2 linked regions of the Nothobranchius furzeri genome follow. The protein of the gene in region 2 interacts with the protein of the main gene of each other region in a biochemical or structural test. Links are inferred from orthologs where the notes say so. Each region holds a gene or a part of one and is shown on either strand. Other genes may lie near its edges.

What was found.
Region 1: of the proteins of cyld (region 2) and mib2, one has a biochemical effect on the other in vitro, tested with the Homo sapiens proteins (2 studies listed by BioGRID, with this or other methods). The link is inferred for Nothobranchius furzeri from reciprocal best matches to the Homo sapiens genes CYLD and MIB2.

What each region holds. Positions count from the first base shown.
Region 1 is NC_091755.1:36,254,299-36,257,798, forward strand, and holds part of mib2 (E3 ubiquitin-protein ligase MIB2), read right to left. Parts: intron 2,641-3,500; coding exon 2,498-2,640; intron 2,207-2,497; coding exon 2,099-2,206; intron 2,019-2,098; coding exon 1,914-2,018; intron 1,518-1,913; coding exon 1,355-1,517; intron 798-1,354; coding exon 664-797; intron 1-663. UniProt on the Homo sapiens protein: E3 ubiquitin-protein ligase that mediates ubiquitination of Delta receptors, which act as ligands of Notch proteins.
Region 2 is NC_091749.1:70,997,817-71,001,316, reverse strand, and holds part of cyld (ubiquitin carboxyl-terminal hydrolase CYLD), read right to left. Parts: intron 1,684-3,500; coding exon 1,295-1,683; intron 1,069-1,294; coding exon 903-1,068; intron 813-902; coding exon 671-812; intron 583-670; coding exon 460-582; intron 1-459. UniProt on the Homo sapiens protein: Deubiquitinase that specifically cleaves 'Lys-63'- and linear 'Met-1'-linked polyubiquitin chains and is involved in NF-kappa-B activation and TNF-alpha-induced necroptosis.

The sequences.
Region 1 (3,500 bases), on a different chromosome or scaffold from region 2:
ATTATTATTATTATCATTATTATCATCATTATTATCATTATTATCATTATTATCATTATTATTATCATTATCATTATTATTATTATCATTATCATTATTATCATCATCATCATCATCATTATTATTATTATTATCATTATTATCATCATCATCATCATCATCATTATTATTATTATCATTATTATCATCATCATTATTATTATCATTATCATCATTATTATTATCATCATCATCATCATCATTATTATTATTATTATTATTAGAATGTGCTCTGCAGAGGATGCAGACTAATATTTAGATTAAAATATTTTTTGATTATGTGTAATTTAATTATATTAAATACTTAAAAATAATAAGAGGAAGTCGAGTTGAACTATACAGAAATGGAACTCGTTATTTTTTTATTCTATAAGCAAAAGAGGAACTTTTGAGAGAACTGGGCTAGCACTACCCTGCTGGTCATTGCCTCACTTCAGTCTTCATTATGCTAATATGATAGGAGTAAATTAGTAATTTAATCAGACTGGTAATATGTCAAAGTGCTTAGTTTGTTCTAAACAAGTTTTGAGCGCCCCCCACACCCCACCCCACACCCCACACCCACGCACGCACCCCGTCTTGGAACGGACAGCAGACTGCAGCAAACAGGAGTGCTGCGCTCACCTTGTCAGGATGCTTCTGCACCAACTCCCGCACTTTGCTGGCACTGCCGTGCGCTGCTTCAATGACCAGCCGGCTGGGGTTGTCCTGTTCCGTGGACTGAGACAGCAGCTTCTCCAGCACTGAGATGACAGTACCTGGACAGAGCGGGAGAGGAAACAGAAAAAAAGACACAAGAGTTAGCTTTTCCATTTCAACAGTAACCACAGACGGCTTTAGAGAGGGACAAAAACTCTAAGTTATAGGATGATGACTTTTTCAGGGCTGGAATGAACACATGAATGAGTCAAAATGTCCCTCCATGCAGTGGAACCTGACCACACACCGGTTTTGGTTCTCACCTTGTCATTGGTGAGGTGAACACATACACAGACAGAGCACAAGATGATTAAGAGCCTGCTGAGAACTTCTGACATGATGACAAACGTTTGCTGAGCTGCCAAAGCTTCTTGCTGTTAACAAGCTGCATCGCGGCATGCTACAGGAAAGAGCACTTGAAGAAACCAACACCCTGCTCGCACAATCGGGGGAAAAAACAGAAAGGCCACAGATGGAGGCGCCTATATGAGAAAGCATGCAAAGCGGAGACGGTGCTGGAAGGAGGGCTGGAGAGGAGGAAAGAACGCATGATGAAAGGTGAAGCTGGAGCTGCAGCATTTTGGGATGAGCCCCCTGGTCCCGGAGGAGGCCTTACTTCCAGATTCGATGGGGTTCTCAGCTGTCATGAGGTTGGCATCTACCTCTGCAGGCTGAGCTGCAAGGCATGCTGGGTTAAAAGTCCATGTCTGGCCTCCAAATGCAACTCGTAGGTCTCCATCTGCGTACACCTTCAACACCTTGCCGACCTGGCCAAGAACCTAGGGTAAACAACGACAGAAACCAGGTGTGAGGAGAGGGAAAGAGCAAATGAACAAATCAAGGATGTATTAATGCCCCATTTCTGTCCCTCTGACATTTTAAGTAATCAAGCAGTTAAATCCTAACTTTAAACTAGTTTGCTTTAAAAGAATTCCAGTTAAATAAAATGACTGGTTATAGAAAGAAAAACTGCTAAAATAAAGACGGCAAATAGATTTTTTGTCATTTTGTACATTTGTGAAAGACCACCCAAATCCCAAACAATTAATCCATCTAAACTGCACTTCGTCTCTCCTAAAGTCAAGTGACTTTTAGCTTAAAGCTCCACTACACCTGCATGCAGAGGTCGCCCTATCAGCCGACCTTTTAGTTAGTTAGCCTATAACTCAGCATACAGGAGTCATGCTGTCTGTCCACTCTCCATGACCGGCCTGCAGTCTCTTCACCGTCTCCATCTCCTCCAGCACTCGCACTAGCTCGCCAACTCCAAAGGTGTTGACCTAAATAAAGATAAAATAAAAGCCAAAATATGAAATCGTTCTGAATCAAAACCAGCGTATCCTGCTCCGTATTTACGTACCTTTGTGAGAGCGCCTGGGTGGAAAGTCCAGCGGATGTTGTTGCTGTACTGGACCCGGACGTCTCCTCGGTCCGTTATTCTATGAACCGTCCCGATCCGACAAATGTACTGCCAACACAAACAGACCGTTTCACCCTGGGTCTCCCCTCGGTGTGACCTTATTATTCTCTTTAGCAGCTGTAATTGCAAAGTTGGATGCTCAGCCTTGTTCTAAAAGGATTCGGTTTGTCCTAGTGGAGTGTTTTTGTGATTGTGGAGCCAGAGTTTTGTTGAAAACAAACACATTTGTGCACAACAGGCTTACTGATTAAAAAAAGAAAGTTAATGAAATACTTCTACATTTAATTAAAAGCTAAAATCCTTATTGTGTTTGTCATCCGTCTGTTTTGCATTTCGTACCTCGGCCATTTTGGGGTTCCATCCTCCGTGACCTTCCTGCATCTGTCTCAGGATGTCCACCTCTAAGAGACATTTCACCTTGTCTCCTTGCTGAAAGGAGTGGCCGTCAGCGCTCTCCTGCCGTTGCAGCTCTGCGTGTTCTCCTGAAATCAGAGATGAGAAAGAGGAAGTCGTATTGTGGTGGTAGATTTTTAGATGTTTTCTAGAACGTTTGTGTACCGACTCCCTAACAAGTGACTGGAATTGGTCGAATTTTGGTTTGCCCATTTTGAAATCTTACAACTTGGTGGAGTTTTAAAATGTTTCCACTGACAATGTTTATTATGAATTTTCTGTGTAAACAGAAAACTCAAAACACAAAAAGTTTGCATCTATTTGTTGCTCTCGTTGCCATTAGTTCCTCGTTTAATTTGTTCCAATGATGACCGACATCATGAGCCTCCATGTTATTTTGTGAGTTAACAGCTGAACATTTAGAGAATTGCTGTTTAAAAGAAATATTATGCAAAAATACCTTGTTGCATCCTTTTGTGTTGCCATGTGGGTCTCTACTGTCTCTTGAAACACGGATAAAACCCTGTTCATACCGTTTTTGTCAGATTTTCGTCTCAGGAATCGTAGGCTTCAACAAGCCATTTCAAACTTTACCCCTGTTGTGATGTCACAAACATAAGCATAGACACCGCCCCAACCTGTTGAAGCTTCTGCTTCTGCTTTGGATGTGGACAAGCAGCAGCTCTACTCCAAGCTCCTTCTGGATATCAGAGTTCCTCACCTCATAGCAGCCAATGAGGGGATCGGAAGGTTTGGCCAGTAACAGCTTAATTTCCTTAAAGCGTAACTAAACCCCAAACTAATATTTTTTTGCTAATTAACTGTATAATTGGGTCTTTGCAAATGCAACTGTTCTGTTTCTGTGCATTTTTTGACATGTTTGTGAAAACTTGATTAAATCTAGAATCTAGGTCTAAAAACCTCTTAGTGCTGCCCCCTGTGGCAGAAC
Region 2 (3,500 bases):
AGAAAAATAATCATTAGATTAATCGTCTAAATAGTCATTAGAATAGTCGACTATTTGATAAAATTATCGTCAGAATAATCGTTTTAAAAATAATCGTTTACCCCCAGCCCTACTGTTTACCATCTGTGACTGATCGTTTTTTCTAAAATAACAAGTAAAAAGGGTTTTTCAGTGAGCCTGGTCTAGTCGTGCTTGTTCTATCGGATATCTGACAAGCAGTGAAACTGATGCAACGACCACGGCAGGATGAACGTTTTCCTTTAGCTGTAGCAGACGACCTGTGTGACCCTCATCAGCAGAGACTACAAGTTTAAATTGTCCCGTTTGAATACAAAATAGAGTTCAAATCAAACTGTGATGAAGTGATTTGGGTTTGAAACTTCTGACCTTTTTTCTACAAACTACACTGATTGGTGTGCCGATCAGCTGATCGCAGCGGCGGTCGTTACGGTGACTTACATGCGCAGCGGGTTGACGATCTCTGTGCGTAGCAGCTCCTGGGTCTCCCGGTAATACTCGACGTCGGTCTTCGACCGCGGCCTCAACAGAACCGTGTCCAGAACAGAACTAAAGGAGAAAAGACTGCAGAACAAACCCCCTCCCCGTTAAAACCTGCATATTCAGGATCGTTCCATGTGACCCAAGTTCTCTAATCTGAACAGGAAGTGACCAGAAAAGGGTTGAATCCAGGTAGCAGGAATTGTAGTGGCCCTGAATGCCTTTCTTCTTCCCCACCATGACATCCAGACCGTCGTTTTCCGTACGAGGAGGAGTGTTTTCGTGTACCACCTCGCTCAGATACCCCCCAAAGGCTGCCAATGCCACAGAGAAAACAGAGAAAACACATTTTAGGGAACAATCGTTGCGTGTTTGCACCAGTCAAAGGCCTCGTTCTGACTCACCAATAGAGTTGCAGCGTTCGATGGGATTGGAGGAATGGTGCAGGGACGGGAACCGGGAGTCAGGCCGGCAGCACTTAAGCTTCACAAACAGAGCCTTTTTGGGGGGGCAGGTGAAGTAGCGAGTACCTTTAAAGGTGCCGTCGGTGCAGCCGGGACACTCTTCTTCCTGAGAAAAATCATCCAGTTTCACTCCTGCAAAGTACTCCTTCAGCGTTTTACCTAAATAAATCAGATTTAGGACGTTCCTCTGGTCCTACCGAAAGGTTAACGGGAAAAATATTATGGGAAAAGGGGCAGGTGCAGAGTCAGATATCGGTTTTGTCACAAAAAACTAAAATCAGAGCATCTGTACAAATAAAATATATGATAAATATGGGTTTGTGACGTCTCACCAGTTCCAGACCAGCTAAAGGCTCCAGCAGGCCCGGAGGCAGACCCACCCAGCGGATTACGCCACATAGAGGGGGGTTCTCCTTCACCTCCACCAGAGAGCCCACCTCCAGACCCGGCTGTCCTCGAGGAGGGGTGGAAGGTCGTGGAGAGGGAGGGGCAGCGGGCGACGGGGGTTCGGGCTGCTCGCCCATCACAGACTGGACGGAGAGGGAGATGGGCCCTTGACTGATATTTTCATTGGGAACGGTCTTCCGGTTCAGGCTGAAGGGCAGCGAGTGGAACTTGTTGTCGCTGGACAGAGAGGAAGTGGGCGGGACTCTGGACGGTGGGGAGGACTGGTTGAACTCGGGAGGCGTGTCCGTGAGGGACTTGGCGGGGTCTTCTCCAACTGTAGGGGAGACACCAGAGATGAGCAGAGAAAAACAGGAAGTAGATCAAAAATCCCCGTTTGACCCATCGTAGAGGAGGAGCTAGTTTAAAATACCATTTATTAGAACAAATCTCAACATCTTGAAACATCTTCACATGAAACAGCTAAAGGTGTGGTTCACAAATTTACTCGACACACCCGCCGGGGTCTCTAGTAGGAGTGAATGCCTTGCAGGTCACACTCTGGAGATGTAAAGCACCGGCGTAGTCAGGGACTGGAAGTGTCAAATCAGAGCTGAGCATCAGATGACATTTCCTGATATGTGGACATCTCGCGTCTGATTGGCTAACAGCAATGTTAGCCAGCAGTGCTGACAGGGCATGTATGAATGTTCAGTGACAGTGTGACGTAGATCTGTCAGGATTTTCTAATCCTAGAGTCTCACTGTCTGTTTTTGATCTGAAGCTAATGCAGGAGATAGGTGTAGGAGACTATCTCCACGTTCAGCCTGCATGAAACACTCAGAGTGACCCGTTAGAATCAGAAATAATTATTAAAACATGGTTTTCTGTGTTCCACCTTTAATACCATCACCTGCTAAGAGGTGGTGATTCTGTTCGTTAGCAAAACATCTAATTCAAGATGGCTGCCACTGCTCATGTGTTTTAGCTAGCACACAAACAACGTAGCTCAGTTTTGCAGCCACTGAGCTACAATTTAATGTGGTAGTAGCTGGGAGCCATTTGCACTTTAAGCTGTGACATCAACTTCCTGTAACCCTTTAACTAGAAGGTCAACAGCTTGGTAAATTTAATCCATCCATCCATTGTCGGCCGCCTATCCAGAGTCGGGTCGCGGGAGGCCAGGGAGGCCTAAACTTCCCTCTCCTCAGCCACCTGGACCTAGCCTAGTGAACTAGACAAAATTCTTGCTTTGCAAAGTTTGGTCTAGGAACGCTCCATTGGAACCTCTGAAGCCCCAACAGCATTCTGGCTGGCCAATCACAGCTCTCTAGAGGGGTTTCAAACACAGAAAGAGCTGTGATTGGTCCATAATGGTGGGCCAATCATAGTGCTCTATTTGCTTAGTGAACAAATCACAGAGCTTTATCCGCTTTGTGGACCAATCAGGGCACTCTATATGCCTGGTGGGTGGGATGATACAACAGAGTGAAACAAGAGTATGTCACATTCATTGTTCAGTGGAATGCGGAGATCATTTGAAAGACAACGGTAGAACCCGCCCCACAACCGAGAGCCGTCAATGGAGCGTTGCCAGACTAAATAATACATTTATTTAGTCTGGCTTGCCAGGCTAACCTGGACCAGCTCCTCCGGGGGAATCCTAAGGCATTCCCTTGCGGTCGTGAGACAAAGTCCCTCCACCGTGTCCTGTGTCTTCCTTTATGCCTTCTCCTGGTTGGACGTCCCTGGAAAACCTCACCAGGGAGGCGTCCAGGAGGCATCCTGACCAGATGACCGAGCCACCTCAACTGGCTCCTATCAATGTGGAGGAGCAGCGGGTCTACTCCGAGCCCCTCCCGGATGACCGAGCTTCTCACTCTATCTCTAAGGAAGAGCCCAGACACCCTGTGGAGAAAACTCATTTCAGCCGCATGTATCAGCGATCTCGTTCTTTCGGTCATTACCCAAAGCTCATGACCATAGGTGAGGGTAGGAACGTACATCGACCGGTAAATCTAGAGCTTTGCCTTCTGACTCAGCTCTCTCTTCACCACGACAGACCGGTACAACGCCTGCATCACTGCAGATGCAGCACCAATCCGCCTGTCGATCTAAAGCTCCAGTTTTCCCTCACTCGTGAACAAAATTACT